2 linked regions of the Arabidopsis thaliana genome follow. The protein of the gene in region 2 interacts with the protein of the main gene of each other region in a biochemical or structural test. Each region holds a gene or a part of one and is shown on either strand. Other genes may lie near its edges. The genes, in order: ABP1 and RMA2.

Region 1 (10,333 bases), about 13 Mb from region 2:
GCTGTTGATTGGTGGTTGATTGGAATTGATGAAGTTGAGGGCAGCGTTTGGCACTGTGTCCTTGCACGCTACATATTTGGCATCGGCCCAAGTAGGGTTTGGGCTGGCGATTATCGGATCGAGAGCCAGAAGACGATGGCTGCCAAGAGTTTGAGCGATTGTTGTTGTTGTTGTAGTTGCGGTTGTCTCCACGATTGTTCTGATTACGGTTGGTGTTGGTGTTGCGGTGAGTAACGACATTGGCAGTGATTGGTACGACCTCTGCCGAGTTCAAAGCAAGAAGTTTGCTCTCTCGATTTATCAGCCTCTCATGGATCTCTGTGAGAGACGGTGGGGTATCTTTGGCGGCAATTTGATCTATCACTGGTTTGTAATCATCAGGCAGATTTTCCAGCACACGTTCTACTTGCTCGTCATGGTCCATAGGTTTTCCAAGAAGCGCAAGTTGATCGAATCTAGTGATGAATCCTTGCATATAGTCATCGATGGTTTTGGCACCCTTCGTCCATTGCTTCAGCTACGTACGGAGTTGAGTGACATGACCATAGCTTGGATTCGCATAGATCTTGCGAAGTGTCTCCCAGATCTGAGCCGCTGTAGTGGCTCGAGATACCGCAGGTTGTACGGACATAGAGATGGCTCCAAGGATTGCACTGTAGATGAGCTTGTCTTGTCTTCTCCAGCGAGTGTAGTCGGGATTGACACGAGGAACCGCATCTGTGCCAATGGTTGCAGGCGGCATGGGTGTAGAGCCATCGAGAAAACCGGCGAGTTCATAGCCATCGAAGAGCGCATGAACCTGGCGGCTCCACATGAGGTAGTTAGTGCTGGTGAGTTTGGTAACGTTACTCATGTTCACGTTGAGGATGTTGGTGTTGACGAGAACGATTTCTTCAGCGTGAGTAGCCATTGAAGGAGAGAGAACGAAGAAAGAGGAAAAATTTTTTTTTAATTTTTTTTATTTTTTTATGGATCTAAGCTCTTGATACCATATAGATGTTTATAGAAGAGATGATTTCATTACATAGTGAGAATCACAATATATATACAAGAGTGAGTAGCTAGGGTACATCAACGTAATGAATGAGAATATATACGACTTTACATATGTGTATCCATGACAGTAGCAATCTAGGATATCAATCATATCCTCAATAGAATCTTTATTGACAAAACAGAGCAAAAGACAGTAAAGTTTCTTGCTTTATTCAAAAACTAAAACCAAAGAAAAATCACATTACTAATTTGCTTATAAACACTCTGCGACTAATAACCGTTGGATCATATCAGTAAGGAGAGAAATCGACGGTTAGAATTCTTTGACTAGTGATATTTAAGCCAAATCACGAAATTAGCAAACTCTCGTCACAAATCATCAGTTTCTCTTTCTCTCTTCCTCATTAGTCTCTCTCCACTGATCTTGAAACTACAACGATGAACGTGTACATCGATACTGAGACTGGCTCATCGTTCTCCATTACTATTGATTTCGGCGAAACAGTGTTAGAGATAAAAGAGAAGATCGAGAAGTCTCAAGGTATCCCTGTTTCGAAACAAATCCTTTACTTGGATGGCAAGGCTCTTGAAGATGATCTTCATAAGATTGATTACATGATCCTCTTCGAATCTCGTCTCCTTCTCCGCATCTCTCCTGATGCTGACCCTAATCAGAGCAACGAGCAAACCGAGCAATCAAAACAAATTGATGATAAGAAACAAGAGTTCTGTGGCATTCAAGATTCATCGGAGAGCAAAAAGATCACGAGGGTGATGGCGAGGAGAGTCCACAATATATATTCATCACTACCGGCTTATTCACTTGATGAGTTACTTGGCCCTAAATATTCAGCAACTGTGGCGGTTGGAGGCAGAACAAATCAAGTGGTTCAACCCACCGAGCAAGCTTCAACGTCAGGCACAGCCAAAGAGGTCCTTAGAGATTCAGATTCGCCTGTGGAAAAGAAGATCAAGACCAACCCGATGAAGTTTACAGTACATGTGAAGCCATATCAAGAAGATACCAGGATGATTCATGTAGAGGTTAACGCAGATGATAACGTCGAAGAACTGAGGAAAGAGCTGGTTAAGATGCAAGAGAGGGGTGAGTTAAATCTGCCTCACGAAGCGTTTCACTTGGTAAGCAGTGAGTTACCATTGACCGAAACTAAGTCATTCAAGTGGAACCGTGTTGCTGATGGCGATACAATTGAGATTATCCGTAGACTCGTGCCTTTTTGCAGTCTCCTCTTTTCTCATACCTAGTTTTTAGTCTTTCTTCAAGTTTTCTTGCTTTGTTCAAAGTTCATAGCTTTCTTCAAATATGCTAAGACATGTAAGTTCATAGCTTTCTTCTTGAGTTACATCTTTTCGAAATTAGCTCTGTACATTCTCTAGAAAACATTACGATCGGGTGGTCTAGTTCACATTTCTTTTGGTATTTTTCAATGTCTAGTTACAGCAACAAGTATGAAGATCAAATGTTGAATCTTTGTTGATAAAACAGGGCAGAAAGACAGTAAAGTCTCTTGCTTTACTCAAAAACTTAACCAAAAAAACAATCAAAATACTAATTGCGTCAAAACACTCTGCAACTAATGAACGATAACGTGAAAGAACTGAGAAACGAGTTGATGAAGATTGAAGAGGAAGGTGAGTAAAAGCTGCCTCAAGAAGGGTATTTTCTTATACACAAAAACAGAGTATTGAAAGAGAATCAGTCATTCTCTTGCTTTGTTCAAAGTTTGCTTTTGTTCCCTCTTAAAATATAAACAAAAAGCGTAGAAAGTTTTGGAAAACAAAAATCAAAAGAGGGAAAAAAATGGTGGTTCATATGAGATCGGACCAGCAGGCCATAGTGGTTCTGAGCGACGCTAAACCGTGATCCGTCCACTGCTGTAAGCGGGAAGTAGTCGCTGCTCTGTGAAGCCAGCCTCACGCATTACCCTCCGACTCTAGAACCTGCATGAGCCAAGCCTTCGCTCAACTCAACACTAATTACTCACAGCTTGGACTGGGCAGCTCAGAAACATGCCCACATCAGAACCGATCCGAGGAACCGAACCAGTGTCCCACCATCTTAATGTCCCCACATGGGTTACAAGCTATTGTTACTTAGCTCGACGTTGAATACATCGTTTCGTGTAATATATAAACAAACACAAAACGAGTAGATTGACCGATGTGGGACAAAAGACTCTGAAAATTAGTTTTGATTTGTGAATTTATCTTTTATGATGTGGGCCAAAGCCTTATTTTGAGTCCCATTATAGACTAACCAAAAGCCCAATAGTAATATTGAAGAGACAGATTTGAGATGGAAGAAGAGAGAAAGGGGCAAAGAAAGCAAATGCAAGAAGAAGAGTTATTATTTGATGAGACTTCGTTAGTTTGCATTTAACATCGAGCCAATTCAGCCACTACTAGATTTGTGAGTGTCATTGATCACTTTCTCACATGGAGACAAAATAAACGACTGCATCATCAACTTCTTCGAAGAGGTATATATATATCAAGACAAGACACAAAAAAAGCTATGATTCTGATGTCCTCTTGTCTTCGAAGAGCTATGATTTGAATATAGAAGAGGAAAATAAAAGTGAGTGAAACTCTATAAATTTATCGCAAATGCAATCAAGATGTGCACACTTACATATTTTCATGACCAATAGGACTCACTTACTTAAGAACATCAAAGATTGAACATTTATTTACTTTCTGGTAACAACAACATTCATGTAAAATCCTTGCCAATTTACCAGTATCTACGTAGTGTCACAAAACCTCAACTATGATTTTACTATCTAAAGGTTGTGCTTGCTTTTAGCCTCGGACTTTGCTTTAAAGCTCGTCTTTTTGTGATTCTTGAATGCATTGCTCATCCCAATAGTAAGGGAACTTCAGCCTTGCAGCAGTGTGTGGCATAAACCAGTCTTCGTAGATGAAGCTATTTAAAAACAAACGATTAGTAAAAGGATACATCTACACATAATGATCTATAAGCAAATTCCTCAAAAAGGATGTTACATACATTTTAATAGGCGGCCGAGATATGATAACCAACACCTGCAGGTCCTCATGACCGGTGTTTTTGACCTGTAAGAACCGTAATAGATGATTGTGAGCTAGTTTCATAAGATAACACAAAAGTTATTTTAGCAGAAGAAAACGTCATCTTTCACTGATTCATAAGAATATACACAACGTTAGCGAAAAGGTCAGTTTTCTAATAATTGTCTCTACATGTGACATAGGACCTGCGGCACCTCTAACACTCTCAAGCAATCTTAAACATAATAGTATGTTTTTGCTCAACTAACATCTGTTGCATACGAAATTGGATTGTTTATCATCAGCCTTACATGGAGTTTCTTTTGCCCTCAATCAAGATTACAATTAAAGGGGAAACTCTAACAATCTAGGATTTCAAACTCTAAGAATCAAGGAAAGAGCCAAGTCATCTGAAACGATGTGGGAGGTAGAAAGAGATACCTGATGAGCATCATTGATCGGAATATGAATTGTACTGTTGGCAAAGATTGGAAATTCGATTGGTTTCCCAGGGAAATTTCCATGTGTTTCAGCGAGATACAGAGTACCACTGCCCTTTAGGACAACAAAAACCTCTTCACAGGAGTGCCTGTGAATTGGTGTCTCTGAACCTGGAGCAAATGTCTGAAGCCATATTTCAACCTGAACATCCAACCATGAAAAAACACAGATAAGAGCCGAGCGGATACCAATGGAAAGAGTTTTAAACCTCTATCAGCTTTGAACATTACCTCTTTCATTCCATGCAATACGGAGCCAGCAACAGTCATGTGGGAAAGACCTGGTCTTCCATAGTTATCCTGAGGAAGGTCACTAATATTCCTCACGATTGGCAAGCCTAGAATCACCATTCAAGAGTCAAGAACCAGTATTAACATCACAATTTCTAAGTATTTAAGCTATGTAAGCATTTCTAAACAAATTTTGGATCCTCTAATAAGCTACAGATCGATGAAATTGCAGCGAATCTGTACCATATCAGCAACCAAATTCACTATGAAGCATTCTGAAACACCTCCATAAACCTAATTTAGAGTTAAAATCAATCACAAGTTCAGCACATTTTGGTCCATCTGATTCTACCAGGACATACGATTTCACAGCTAACTAAGACCTTAGATTCTATCACTGATACATAGATAAACAAGATGAAATCTGCATTCACAATATAACTAGATACAATCTAATGGCGAGTAGGGATGAAAACAGGCGAAACGCACCATTGATGGGACAAGGAGCTCCTAGAGAAGTTTCAGAGAAGTAGAACAGAAGAAGCGCGACGGAAAAGACGACGACGATCGGAGATGAAGAAGCGGAACCAACAGAAAGTACGATCATTTTCTCGATGCTTCGACGAACTAATTTTCCTCTCTTTAGAAGTCTCAGAACTGTTAAAAGAGTAAAGATACTTCGAAACAGACCCCAAAGCTTTATATATTTCTGAATTAAACCCGATACTATAAAAAAGAGTCAGAAAATACTATTTTTCATTTTCGATAATCCAATGTTGAAGATAAAAGGAGGGAATTAATTAATTTTAGAAATATTAAGAGAAAGTTTTGATGATATATAGTTTTTTTATTAATTTATATCACATCCAAAGTAATCATATACGTATTGGTTTAATGTGATAATTTCAGATAGTATAGGGCAATAATGGGAAATATAAGAAATAAGGGGGAGAACGTCAATAATTCGGATAAATCATTTCAATGGAGAAAGAGAGTGACTTTGTTGTGTGATGAGGAAAAAACCTTACCCGCTCCTCTAAAACCCTCGTCTTCTCCGATATCTTTCCTCAGCTCCGGTGAGATTTCAATCACACGCTGGTCCAATTCTCCTTATTCCATAGTTTCTGTGGTTTGCTTCTAGTTAGGTTATGGTTTTTTGGTTCGTTGATGTTAACATGAACATGAATGATGGTATTTTTTCGGAGTTTTCTGAGCTAATTGTACTGTAAAATTGTCTGGGTTAGTCCGAATTGGTATGATTTTCTCGTTGATAATCGTCGATTTTAGTGTTGTTCCGTTTTTGTGCAGGTAAAGAATGAAGATTAGGTTCTGTAATGGCTTCACAAAGCCTGGGTTTTTGCTAGTTCACTTTGAGCCACCATCTTTTTTTGCCGTTAGATCTCGTTCACTCTCTGATTCCACTTATGGCAACTTATGCAACCACAAGAAGAGACCTGGGACTGGAATTGGTCTAACTGTTCAATGCGCTATTGCAAATCGGAGATTTTCTTCACGTTCTTTGGATTCACCGAGAAGAGAAAGGTCTTCTCGTTCTTCTTCTTCTTCGGGAAGGGATAGGGATAGAGATAAGGATAAGGGAAGAGATTCTAAGTCTTTGTATAGTCGTCCTAGTTTGTTAGATATGAATAAGGAGAAAGCTGCTAATCGTGCTAAGGTTTATGAGTTCTTGCGTGGGATTGGGATTGTTCCTGATGAGCTTGATGGCCTTGAACTCCCTGTAACAGCTGATGTGATGAAAGAGCGTGTCGAGTTTCTTCACAAGTTAGGGCTTACCATTGAAGATATCAACAATTACCCTCTTGTTCTTGGTTGTAGCGTGAAGAAGAACATGGTTCCGGTTCTTGATTATCTCGGGAAACTAGGCGTCAGGAAATCGACTTTCACTGAGTTTCTTAGAAGATACCCGCAGGTTCTTCACTCTAGCGTTGTTATAGATCTTGCACCGGTGGTTAAGTATCTTCAAGGACTGGATATTAAACCGAGTGATGTACCTCGGGTGCTTGAGAGGTATCCAGAAGTTTTGGGGTTTAAGCTGGAAGGGACTATGAGCACATCAGTCGCTTATTTGGTTGGTATAGGTGTAGCTAGGAGGGAGATTGGGGGTATTTTAACACGGTACCCTGAGATTTTGGGAATGCGGGTAGCTCGGATAATTAAGCCTCTCGTGGAGTATCTCGAGGTTCTTGGTATTCCGAGACTGGCTGCAGCTAGGTTGATAGAGAAGCGGCCTCACATACTCGGGTTTGAATTGGATGATACGGTGAAACCAAACGTGCAAATCCTGCAAGATTTCAATGTCAGAGAAACATCTCTTCCTTCTATAATTGCGCAGTATCCTGAAATCATCGGAATCGACCTTAAACCTAAGCTCGACACACAGAGGAAGCTACTTTGTTCAGCCATTCATCTAAATCCAGAGGATCTTGGCTCTTTGATCGAGAGAATGCCGCAGTTTGTTAGTCTCAGCGAGTCTCCTATGTTAAAGCACATTGATTTCCTTACCAAGTGTGGATTTTCGATAGACCAAACAAGGGAAATGGTAATCGGGTGTCCTCAGGTTCTGGCTTTGAACCTCGGAATAATGAAACTCAGCTTTGAGTACTTCCAAAAGGAAATGAAAAGACCTCTTCAAGACCTTGTGGATTTCCCCGCATTCTTTACGTATGGGCTTGAGTCCACGGTAAAGCCGAGACACAAGAAGATAATCAAGAAGGGAATCAAATGTTCATTGGCTTGGATGCTAAACTGTTCAGATGAGAAGTTCGAACAGAGAATGAGCTACGACACAATAGATATAGAAGAGGTAGAAACTGATCCATCTTCTTTTGACATGAATACATTGATGCAACCTGAAAGAGAGGAGGAATCTGATTCCGAGTACGAGGAAGAAGAAGATGATGACGACGAGGAGTTTGCATAAACCCGGAGTTCAACAAAGAAAAGGTCCAAATACAGACAATGAATCGAAGAACAAGCTTCATGTCTTGATGTATCATCATCATGAGAGGAGAATGAATGATTTACTTTGAATTTTCGAACAGATTCTTTGTTGATCAGATTAGCATTCTCTCTTATCCATCCTTGTCATCGATTCTTTTGTTCATCATGTTGTTGAAATCAGAACAATATGGACCAGAAATTGTAATGACTAAAATACCCTCAGGGGCAAATCAGTAATTATGATTTTTTTTTTCCTAAGCACCAACCCTCTTTTGTGTTACCCAAAGAAAGAAAATAAAAGCTCACGATCAATTTTGTTGGGCTCCTTCTTCGTCTTGTAGCCACGCACTTGTTCTCTTTATCACAGTGCCCTCTCGCTCTCTGCAACAACACTCTTAATATATATATATATATATTCATCAATCCCTATCTCTCATCGAATTCTCTTCCGATCGTCTTTTTTTCTTCCCGCGGTTTCTTGCGTTTCCGGTCAGTTTGCGGCACCGTGTTTTGTTATTTGGTTGAATGATCAAACGATTTGGTTTTTTATCCTGATTCGATTGCATTCTGATTGAGCTGCTATGTTTGAGAAATCGTGTGTGGAATTGTGTTGATTTGTTCTGGGAATTTAATTAGTTTCTGGAATTTTGCCGATTGTTTTGGTGTTTTCATGAAAAGTTTGCTACTGGAATTTGGGATTATCTCAAAGCTTATTCAATACTTGAATTATTGAATCATTTTTGTTATCTCTGTGTTTATAATTTGGAAACAATCATAATCTCAGGGAATTATTGCTTAATGGTTGAGAAGCAAGAAGAAATGAATGAGTTTGGTGCTGTCAATGGTGGGAAAGTGGGGACGTCTTCTTCAGTGTCACCACCGCAAGATAAAGGAAGGAAGAACAAGAGAAAGTTAGCTGATCCTTCTCCACAAAATGCTGCTTCTTTGACTGAGTTCCCTCGATATGAGTTACATTCGTTCAAATCTCAAAGCCCTTTGTGTGAAAATGACTCCAACGGGCAGCTGAAAGCCGAAGAGTCTGATTCTGTGGGATGGGATGATCCGTTTGCTTGTCACCTTGAAGGACTATTATCGTCAAATTTGCTCACGCTCTTTCGTAGTGCAATGAATCAGATTATGGATTGTGGGTATAGTGAGGATGTTGTTCTCAAAGCTATTTCAAGCAGTAGGTTCTACTGTGGTGGAACTGATCTCGTGTCTAATATTGTTAACGATACCTTGAGTTTTTTGAAGAGTGGCAAAAAAGTTGCTGGTTCCAGAGACTATGTGTTTGAGGATTTGCAACAGCTTGTTGCGTATAGTTTGGTAGAGAAGATAAGTCTTGTTAGGGAGGTTAGACCATCGCTTTCAACGGACGAAGCTATGTGGAGGCTGTTGATTTGTGACTTGAATGTTTTGAAAGCTTTTGAAGTGGACGCAGATGGATTGGAGGGCTCTTCGGTTTCCAATGCTAGTAAATCATCGGAATCTCCAGTTGCTGAGTGTAATCCTCCAAAATCCAGTGACGCAGATAACCCAAAGGCTCCAGTATCCAATACTCAAAGCAAGCAGAGTGAGCCAGTCAAATTTGGGAACTTCGCAAATGTAAACAACTCCAAAAATCCTCATGCTAGTGGAGCAACACCTGGAAAAGAGGTATTTTCTGTTTCCACTGCTTCTGGTGAAGGCACTAAAAGTGCATCCCTGACTTCTGTTTCTGATGAAAAATTAGTATCTTGTCGAAAAGGCCGCACCAAAAAAGAAATGGCCATGCTACGGCAGAAATCATGCGTGGAGAAGATTAGAACTTATAGCAAAGGCGGTGGCTATAAGACGGCAAAGTTTGGTGGTTTCCTTGTGGAGAAAAGAGGCAAATCAGCTTCTGATTTACTTTCCGCACAGGCAAGAAATTCTTCATCAAAGATTACAACAGAGGTTATGAAAATTCCTTTAGCTGAGAGTAGCAGCACTCTCTCAAACAGTACTAAGTCAGATTCGCCTGCATTAGATGTTAAGGAGCATGTTACTGCATTACCTGCTAATAATGCTCCAGCACCAGTAGCTTCAGAAAAGAAGTCCGGTTCTGAGCCTGAAGAAAAGCCTTCTGTGTCTACGAAACCAGCACCAGATTACTATGCTGCAATCCCATACGATGCAACTCTGGGAATATATATTCCCCGGAATAAAAGAGATGAATTGATTTTAAAGCTAGTTCCCCGAATGAAAGATCTGCAGAAAGAATTGCAGGATTGGACTGACTGGGCTAATCAGAAAGTAAAACAGGCTACTGTTAGACTTCTTAAGGACCAACCAGAGCTTAAGGCACTAAGAAAAGAGAAAGAAGAGGCAGAAGAGTTCAGAAAAGAGAAGCAGTTATTGGAAGAAAACACTATTAAAAGGAGATCTGAAATGGAGTTGGCCTTGAATAACGCAACCAACCAGCTTGAGAGAACTAACAACACAATTCGCAGGCTCGAGCTGGAACAATCTCTGTTAAAGAGAGAGAGGGAAGCTGCTAATATAAGAGCTTCCGAGTCCGCTGAGAGCTGTAGAGAAGCAAAGGAGAGAGTGCAAAGATTGTTGAAGAATTCTCA
Region 2 (10,358 bases):
CACTCGGTTAGCTCTTTAAACCAGAAACGAATACTAAACCAGATGGACTTGAACCAATATTCTCACAGCAAGCAACAACAGCCAATGATCAGGTTGCAAATATGTAGCTTTATCTACTACACACACTAACACAGATATATAAGTTTGATGACTTCAGCGGTAAATATTTGTTATATGATTACTGAAATATGTATACTTATCCTAGTATATGAGATTTCTATTTGAAAGGTAACAAAAAAGATTAGAAAATGTTAAACTCCTCCTTGTGAACACCATTAGCATTTTAATCTTCAAGAATTATGTTCTGTAGCCATGAACTTAGGCCTACACAACAAAAACAAGGTTGCCTGTGTCAATCAATACAAGATGTGTGGTCAAATGAAGAATATAACTAAAGTTAGGGGTTGAATATCGAAAGATATAAAAAGCTAAGGAGTCGAAATAAAATAATGAGGAATAAGTTTCTCATTTAATTCTTAACAAAATAAACTAATGTTGAAGTTTATCCATCCCAGCGGGACATGGTATCTCTTTTCAGAAAATTCGAATCTCACACCAATAATAAAAAGAAACTAGACGACAAAAATAAAACTAAAAAGTAGATCTCCACCGTCCATCTAAAATCCAACGGTTAATAATTGATACACACATGCTTTCCGTGAATACTTTAAATACAAGAATTAATTTCCACGAGTAAAAAGAGGAGACAAGCTTTTCTTCAATTTCGGTTAAACCATTTTCGTTCTTTCTTCTTTTAACAAGAAACCACCGCTCTGTACAAAACAAAGTCTCCGTCGTTTCTTCTCCGTTCTCCGGTCAATTCGAATTCCTCAGAGAGAAATTTGTGCTCGCGAGTTCCGCGTGAAATACATGGAAATGTTGGCGGCGTTGGACTCGCGTTCTTCTCTCCATCTTCATCGTTCCATGTCTCGCGTTGACCTTTTTGCCGGTGTTCGTATGAAACCATCTCCTACAAGTCCTGTTCCGAATACGCCTCGAATATGTGGAAGTAAACTCTGTTGATTCGACTCTTCCTCTTCCCTTTAGTAGTTCCTCCGTTTGTTTTTCCTTTGCATCTGAATTTCCAGATCCAATCGAAGCTGTGATTACCTGTAGCGTCTTGTGTAGTCTTATTTTAGGTAAGTGATCTTTTCTGGTGAAGAATTTAGAAGATTGTGTTTGTACTCTGAAACTTCTTAGGATTGTGGAATTGGGGGTTTTCTTTTAGGGTTTGTTGAGTCGTGAAGTTGTTTGTGTCTGTTGGATCTCTGAATGGCTGAGAAGAAAGAATTAGGGTTACCAAAGCCTAGTATTAATTTGAAAGAGCAATTAGCAAGAACTACTCTGAAGAATCTGAGGTTACAAGGGCATACTTACATTGAGCTACGTGAGGATGGGAAACGTTTTGTATTCTTCTGCACTTTGTGTCTTGCTCCTTGCTACAGCGACACAATCTTGCTTGGGCACTTGAATGGAAACCTTCACAAGGAGAGATTGGCATGTGCTAGGATCACACTTCTTGGAACGAATCCTTGGCCTTTCAGTGATGGTGTACTTTTCTTTGATAGTTCAACTGGAGAAGAAGAAGAGAAATCTCCAGTTTCTGGTGGTGAAGGGGTTCCTGATACGTTGGAGCATTGTAGTGATGATGAAAGATTTGCTATTGTCAAGTATGATAACAACAAAACAAATGGAGATAATGTGCCTGCTGCAGTTACTGATGATGAACCTAGTCACGCTGCAGATGATCTGCTAATTTCTGGTGTGCTGATCAAGGAGAGAACTCTTGATGTTGAAGCAAAGTTCATTGGTTTTGGCCGAATAGCTGCCAGGTTGTTTGAAACGAAAGGACGCACAACTTGGATTGATAAACTATGGTGCGAGTGGTTAGGAGACGAGGGTCCTTCAGATGAGGAGAAGGCTACGATCCCGGAGCATGACTTTGCCATTGTCACATTCTCCTACTTCTACAATTTGGGTAGGCTGGGTTTGCTTGATGATCCGGGCCGTCTTCTCACATCTAGTCAGTCAGAATCAGGGAATGGTGAGGACAGTGGCAGGAAGAGAAAGAAGTCTTTCTCGGATCCAGAGGACACCAGTGAATCTCTGTGTAATCAGTATGACTCTTCTGAGGAGGTTTCTTCAGGTCATAATTCAAACTCGTCAAGAGATCTAATAGCTGATTATGATGATAGTCTCATGAGCAAAAGAGTCGTGAAGAACAGAACGGTAAGACGGGAGCTGAGGAGGCAACAACGAATATTTTCTGAAAGAATATGCGAAGTCTGTAAACAAAAGATGCTTCCAGGGAAAGATGCGGCAGCAATACTAAACATGAAGACGGGAAATCTTGCTTGTGGCAGCAGAAACCTCCTGGGGGCGTTTCATCTATTTCATGTGTCGTGTGTCGTACACTGGTTTCTCTTCTGTGAGAGTGAAATACTTGGGAACAAGATGGTGAGTGGAAAAGGAAAAAAGAGATGCACAAAGCATAGTGGTCAGACTGGTGTAAAGTGGAATGAGTTGGCAAACGATGTGAGCTGGCAAATATTTTCGGTGTTCTGTCCAGAATGCCAAGGCACTGGCATAAATATCGAAGGAGCTGTGATTGAGAGAGACACGTTTCCACTTTCTCAGGTATATATGTGTTTGATTCACTCAAATAGCGTTTTTCTTAACGGGTTTGAACCTAACGTATATGTCGATGTGGTAGACATGGAGGTTCCAGGTGAAAGTGAGTGAAGGTAGAAAAGCATGGGTTAAAAATCCGGAGAGATTGAAGAATTGCTCAACCGGATTTCATTTTCCGCAGCAGGCTGAGGAGACGGAACAGATTCCGGTTCAGGTAAATATTATTGCACCTCGTATCCATTTTTTATTGTCGTGTTACAAACTTGGTGGTAAATAGAGAGATCAAAATGTGGATGATGCAGGAGGAGAGAGTGCAGATGATGAAACTGGTTCGCTTCTACCGAGTGGAGTTGTAATGTAGGAAACATACTCATTTCCTCTTGTGTAAATAAGGGCTTCGTCTCTCATTTTACAGTTCACTGTAAATTTACATTTACTTTCTTACTATCTGATGATTACTTTGAAGCCCAATTTATTCTTTTGTCTCAACTTGTTTTCCTGTCTAGAGATTTATGACTTAAAACTGTATAGATACCAACAAGGAAATTCGAACTTTTTAAAACCTATAAGAAGTGGAAATAGGCAAATTAAATTAAAACTTTTGCAGATAGAAAAAATCGATCCCATGAATGAGGGATTGTCTCGATCGGACCCGACCCATAAGGCCATGAACTCATCTCATACTAGTCTATGCTTTTAATGAAACCAGCTCACTCCAATCACTTTACCAATTTTCTTTGCAACATTTTTAATGTATAAAGAAAGACTCGTACTGCAAATTAATGTTTCTACTTCTTTATCTAACAGTCGTATTCGATTCGCCGTTATCAATCAAATCTAGGGCCCCCTATTCTCACTTTTTTTTTTCTTTTTTTTTGTAAAAGTTGGTTTGGTTTTAAACGATTGTAATCCGACATAAGCAACACCATTTGCGTCGCATTCGAATGCCACTATCAGCTTTTTTGGAGCACAAATCTATTTGAGTTGAAGATAAGCCTCCTTTTTAACCCATGCTCTCATCTTCCCACATCATCCCATGATATATCGAATAAAGAAGAAGCCATTTGGTGTCGTTTCTTTCTTTGGACGTTATTATATGCTCATCATACAATTTCAACGATTCAAGACTCTTAAAAATATACAAATTGTTATTACATATATGCATACTCATTCCAATTGGTATATTATATACACATATATATTATAATTAGAAGAGAAATAGACACATAAACATGAAGCAAAGTAGAAACAAGTAGACTCTGCTTAATGACTCCTCAGCCTGCATTGCCCGTCGCCTAGACCGGACATTCATATCGCGGTAAGGTGCCATGTTGCTCGAAGACTCTCCAAATAGTCTCCGGTATACCATTTCGCATACCACACCCATCACCGGATCAGGCATTCTATACATGTAACGTTGACTCTCCCCTTCTCCTAAACGTTGACCAACTCCTCTTAAGTCATAAACCGGACCAGTTGGTCTGCTCGGTACATTTGAACCGGACTGGGGAGCTTTCTGTCCTCGTCCGTAGATCGGGACAAGCGTAGCCTCGGAGACATCAGATTTGCATACCGGACATTTTGGTGGTTCCCTCTTATGATCGTATTGATCGACTCGTTGTCTTGAATTGTTGGACGCATAAGTCCACTTGTGAATGCAGGGCCAACAAAACAGGTGGCCACATAAAGTCACGACCGGGTCTCGAACCTGATCCAAACATATGTTGCAGTCGAAGTCTCCTCCAGAATCAACCAATGTTGTGTCGTCCTCATCCTTCTCAATCTCCATTTTACTAAAACATACAAGACAAACAACCATTCACTTGACCAGTCGTTGTTTATTTAATGAGATTTCACCTAAATAAGTAAATAGTAAATACTAAAGTCTAATTCCAATTAGAGATTTATAAAATCAATGATACTTCATAGAAACAAGAAATATCATCAAAATATGAAGATCAATATAGATTATAACAGAATTGTTGTGTATATACTTAGCATGATCGATCTTGAATTTAAAACTTACACTAACCAAAAAAAAAAAAGAAGAAGATTAGACGCAAAAAAGTAAGGATCATATTCTTTAACAAGTTGAAGTTACGAAGACTTGACCTAATCACTTTCTGTTTCCGACGCTTTGCTCTGTTTTCACTTAATCCCAAAGCACGTTATTGTTTAAGAAAAAAAGCTAAATAATTAAAGACAAAGGAGTGGTTGATTAAACAAACAAGTGATATTATGATCCTTTAAAAAATGACATGGTATATCGAAAACAATCATCTTCTTGCGTAGCAACTCAAAAACGGTGCAGATCTACTACTAATTCGATGCCTTTAGATAGACACACGCAACAATATATAATAAGAGTGATGATTCCAGAAAAAAGAAACGTACTCTTTGGAAAGATTGTAAGTACCGATGGATCTCTTCTGTCTTTAAGCCTTTGGAAACTTGAGAGAGCTTGTACAGGTTCATGCGACAATGGCAGAAGAACAGAGAAAATGATTTATTTGGGTTAAGAGAATGGGGTAAGAATGTTTAGATCGAGGGTGGTGCAGAAGCAGGAGACCTTATTATACACACATACACAATTATTTTTATTCTTATTTTCTTAAGGTGTGCAAAATTAAAATCCGGACAAGTTATGATTTTAAAGAGGAAGAAACGTCTACCTAATTAAAAATAAGTAGATAAAGTAACGAAACGCCATTCATCTTTTTTTTCTTACATGTCTGTCTTTATTTCATGAAAAGGTCAGCAACGGATAGCATCGTTTTAAAAAAAAGTAAACAAGATAATATAATTATTTATACACAACTAAATATATATTTATAGAAAAATATTTATTTTAGTTTGAATAAAATTGTATGTTGAAAAAAAAGTATGAATTGGAAATATGCCCTAATGAGTCCATGAGACCATGACTTTTGTAGGGGAAATATACACAGAAATTGCAAAATTCCCCCATAACTTTATCCCAATATCATATTCATAAGATAAGAATTTGGCTCTGAAAAAAACAAAAGATAAGAATTTGGCAGTTTCTGTTTCTGGCAACACAATAGTAGATACTGAACCAAGCTCGATGACGTGGCACTCCATGGCTGCACCGTTACTCCATCAAATTCACTTGAAAAAAAAAACAAAAAAAAAATGCTAGTAATTTTGAAAATTCTGCTTATTTTGGTACTTTACTTTTTTTTTTATGGAAATTGTAACTATTAGGTGTTGAGTGAATAACAATGGCAATTTGGTAAGTTGTTTATTCAAAGTTGGAACTGGAGAATACTAAGTTTGCGACTAAAGCCTTAATCAAAGGCCTTATCAACCAATAGTTGAATTAGTTTATAGACCACAAAGATAATTAGGTTACACGTCACGGAAGCAAGGAGCTATTGGTGTCACCAGACCATAGTATTTAATTTCAAGTCTATTAATTGTAGAAGGCAACCCAAAATCCACTCCTTGAAATAATAAAACACTGTCTTAAATTCGTATTTGTTGAGTCCTTCACCACCATTATGTCTGATTCTGCTTATATACAAATTTAAGTAAGGTTGTTAGACGGTTCATGTCTCCGAATCTTTGATCAATTGTAAAGTGTAATGTAAAATAGTTTTTTTTTTTTTTAATTTTAAATTTGCGACTACTATATCTAAAAGTCTACTATCAACTACAACTTCACTTGTAAATTGTAATACTCTCGAATAGATCATTTTTGATGAAACAAGTTAGACAATCATCCAAAATTAATCACCAATTTGAGTGCCTCCGAATTTATTCACAATATTCATTATTGAAAAGCATTTTTGGATATGGCCAACCAATAAAATGAAAATTGAACTTTAAAAAAAAAAAACTACTATACCAACAATGTAAAAACAATGTGTGTGTTCACCATCATTAGAACAAGATCTACTCAATGTTTTAAATGTATATATAATATGTTTTGCGCAAAAAAACGTATATGTAATATTATATATATCACGTTCATGATAATGTTTTCAAATTCTCATATGAAATTATTGGAGCAAGTTGCATTTACGATCCGGAGAACTGAGCCAAGAAATGGGCGGTTCTCAATTTATTATGGGTATTATTAACCAGTGGTGGTTGAACCAAAATTAATCTATTCATTTTCTCTATCAAACTTTTTGTTACTTTGATGGTTTGTCTCAATCGATTAAAATAGTAACTAGTTATTTTGTTTTGGCATGTCACTGAATTGATGTTGTTTCTTCTAATTTATGATCCGCTATATCCGCAGCATTTTTCTCTCCTCCTATAACTCTAATGGAAACAGGAAAAAGAAAAAACAAGAAACGATTAGAAACTCAAATGTGACAAAAAGTCAAAAAATAGAGGAGGAAACAAAAACATGAAGATTACTCATCATTGTTTGGTTTCTCTTCTCTCTATCCTCCTTTTGTCTGGATTCGCTTTCTCTCATCACATCTCTCGTAAATTACAATTATCTAATACTTTTACTCGTTTTATTAAAAATATTGTTGAAGTTTCTTTGAAATAATTTATGACATTTCTATGTGCAGTTGATGAATTTGAGTCACACCCATCCACAAGCCGAGCTCTTCTTCAGGCAAAGGCAAGTAAGTAATATAACTCCCAAAATTTACACCATTGATTGTAATCATGTGTTTTAGAAACAAGCTTCATTGATGATTATTAGCTTAATAAGCAAAATATTCCATGATCATTACGTTAATGACATTTTAACAGCATGCAAAGAAGATTTTGCGGCAAAGAATTACACAATCATAACGAGTAAATGCAAAGGACCAAATTACCCGGCCAAAGTATGTTGTTCGGCCTTCAAGGACTTTGCTTGCCCATTCGCGGAAGTTCTTAACGATGAAAAGACAGATTGTGCCTCCACAATGTTTAGCTACATCAATCTCTACGGTCGTTATCCTCCTGGAATATTCGCTAACATGTGCAAAGAAGGCAAAGAAGGTCTCGATTGCACCGACGTCACCCCTACATCATCTTCCCATGCATCGATCCCTCTTGTTTCCACACACGTTTTGCTAATCACCGTTTCCATCTTGTTTCACCTCTTCTAAAGACTTGTAAATGTTACAATATGAGTTATATATTGCATTCCATTGTTAGTTGCTTTGTGAGCATAGATGTAAATGTTTGATTTTTGTTTGCACTCTCATTAACATCATTCGTTATGCCCGGTGTCGATAACTCTACCAGTCGACCTTAAGGAACTCAAGGGATTGCATGACTAAGTTCCGAGTTCCAATCCTAGGCAATGAATAATAATTCTAGAACATGTGTGTTTGGTACACATCATAACACTAGCATTCCTAACATGTTTTGTGGATCAAGAACATGTGTGTTTGGTCATTAATGGGCTGAGCTAATCTCTTAGGCCATATAGAGTCACTAGTTTATTTATGAAGACATGTTTGGTAAACCAAATAGAAGAAACATGAACCTCATAAATCATGCCTCTTGTCTTGGTGGTACACTTTAAGCCGAAGTTACAATAGTGATGTGAAAGAAAGAAAAAAAACGAAACTTAAAATCAGTAAATCTTTGTAGTTAATCAAATGGGGTAAACAATAAGAACCCTTACAAATCAGAACAATGCAAATGTTATCGGTGAGCAGTAACAAGCGTCTCGATGAATCGTAACCCATCAAACCTTGGAGCAAACTTCTCATCTCCCCCATCTTCCGACGAACCCTTCTTCTTCCTCTGTTTTTCCTTTGCCTCCTAACCACAATCAGCAGCTAAAAATTATTCTTTACACATCCGAATCCATGTAAAAGTTAAAAACTCTCCAACTTTGTAATTTGATAAATTTTTGACTATGAGAAACTTATTGTGAGTACTTGAAACAGAGGAGGAACTTTAAATGCTACCGAGAAACAAATAAACAAGAGCTTGATTCTTCTTTTTTTACCTGACGAGAGAGATTAGATTCCGGCGAAGAGAATGACACGGAGGTGTTGGTAGAGCCGGCGGAGATCGCCGTGGCAGAAGCCGCGACAGAGATGGAGGCTGCGATGATTCCAGTTTTCTTCATGTCTTGATCTTAAACTTTCCCAAATTCGTGGACTCTGTTTATACTTTTTTTTGTTTTTCTGTGTTAATAAAATAAAATCTGCAACCGTAGGCAGATGAGAGAAAAATGTGGGAAAAATTGAGGTGTTGGCTTCGATAGTCGACGGTTTATATACGCAATGGGGACAAAAGTTAAATTACGCTAGTTGACCAATTTATGTATCGATAAAGTATGTTACCGTTTTACCCTTTTCTAAATACCTTAAGCATGATTTAATTGCGTTAATTACAGCTAAGATCATTGGTAAACGTTTTTGAATAGAATGATTTATCTTCTAGAAGAATTTAATTGGAGTAAGAATGGGTAGCGTGAAAAATAAGGGGGTTAGTATGGTCAAAGCATTAGAAAAAAAGAAATGTACTTTGAGCCTTGAAGTCAGAACCACACAAAGAGAAACATGATTGGTTGATCTGTTAAATGAAAATGGGTCCATCGTTGGTTGGTAAGTAACCCACGTGTCCGGACAATGTTGCAACTATGAGTTGGTGTTTTGAGAATGTTAAAAGTCAGCTTTGTATTGGACGATTATGCCCCTCTTATTTCTCGTTTATTACTGTTGGTATTGTATGCTCATAAGATAAGGTTCAAGAAAAGAAATGTTCATAAGATAAGGTCGAAACACTAAATGACGGGTGAACAATGGCATTGAACAAGTGGATCTGATTATTTGTCTTTGAGAGCATATCTCAAATGCAAATTGATGTAAACTGATTTGTGGATACCAAACCTAACAAGTCCCATATGGTTTTCTGGTGAGATTTCTCTGCGTCAAATTTAATGTTGAACACATTTATTCTTTGATAAAGACATCACAATCTCGTTAAGTTTTAATACTCGTCTCTATATATTTTACGTCCGGTCACTATTTATGAAAAAAACAGAGTAGTAGAATAAGTTATTAACACATGATCGTACAAAAGCATCTTATGGTGACGTATAGGATCATAATGATATGATTAATAAAGTTTTGATTAAAGATGTATGGATACAAATGAAAGAAAAAAGTTTGCGGCTATATCTCTTTAGGGATGGGTTCTTAATAATTAAAATTACTTTTGAAGGACTTTATCGTTTGCGCAATCTCATAATCATGTCCACATATCTCTACTTTTTCACCGGCCAAAACTTATTCGGTCCATATCCGTATCTTAACGTGAATTATTGATCATGCCGCAAGACCAACAAGCCCACAACTTATTTTACTCTTACATGTGTAAAACAATTAACAACCACAGTGATTGTGGACAGGAGAAGATGAAACAACTCAATGTAAGTAACCCAACACAACCGGTCAATCGGTCATTCTTGTGAACTGGTTTCATTACAAGAACGTGTACCAACTATCTCTAAGCAAACATGCAGAGGCTATGATATCATACATCATATATCAACAAGTTACCAAAAAAAACACTCGTACAGTCGTACTCTTGATGTAACTTCCAAATAATTTTTATATATAACCGGTTCATGTTTCTGGTACATGCTGACAACTACAATATGTTCTTCATACAAGTTTAGCTGACCAATGTGACTACAGATCCCAAAAACTAGCAGCAGTAAGATGGTTGGATTATAACACAAGACCAAGATCAAAGCCCTTCCAATTTCTCAAGAACTCACATATCACTCA

The links.
Region 1: the proteins of RMA2 (region 2) and ABP1 form a complex in vitro, tested with the Arabidopsis thaliana proteins (one study listed by BioGRID).

What each region holds. Positions count from the first base shown.
Region 1 is NC_003075.7:1,316,065-1,326,397, forward strand, and holds ABP1 (endoplasmic reticulum auxin binding protein 1), read right to left. Parts: upstream 5,545-10,333; 5' UTR 5,386-5,544; coding exon 5,268-5,385; intron 4,886-5,267; coding exon 4,779-4,885; intron 4,690-4,778; coding exon 4,489-4,689; intron 4,093-4,488; coding exon 4,028-4,092; intron 3,944-4,027; coding exon 3,838-3,943; 3' UTR 3,539-3,837; downstream 1-3,538. Other genes in the region: AT7SL-1 (7SL RNA1), read left to right, coding at 1,435-2,136, 3,005-3,115; BSM (Mitochondrial transcription termination factor family protein), read left to right, coding at 6,094-7,719; AT4G03000 (RING/U-box superfamily protein), read left to right, coding at 8,538-10,333. UniProt on the Arabidopsis thaliana protein: Auxin receptor that controls cell elongation and cell division. Involved in embryonic morphogenesis. Acts on the cell cycle, endocycle, cell plate formation, and cell expansion and contributes to the control of auxin-related gene expression.
Region 2 is NC_003075.7:14,003,776-14,014,133, forward strand, and holds RMA2 (RING membrane-anchor 2), read right to left. Parts: upstream 5,513-10,358; 5' UTR 5,026-5,512; intron 4,425-5,025; 5' UTR 4,421-4,424; coding exon 3,839-4,420; 3' UTR 3,700-3,838; downstream 1-3,699. Other genes in the region: AT4G28260 (acyl-UDP-N-acetylglucosamine O-acyltransferase), read left to right, coding at 1,273-2,637, 2,714-2,845, 2,934-2,987; LLG3 (LORELEI-LIKE-GPI ANCHORED PROTEIN 3), read left to right, coding at 7,010-7,091, 7,182-7,238, 7,369-7,712; AT4G28290 (uncharacterized protein), read right to left, coding at 8,257-8,376, 8,567-8,689. UniProt on the Arabidopsis thaliana protein: E3 ubiquitin-protein ligase that promotes the ubiquitination and proteasomal degradation of the auxin-binding protein ERABP1.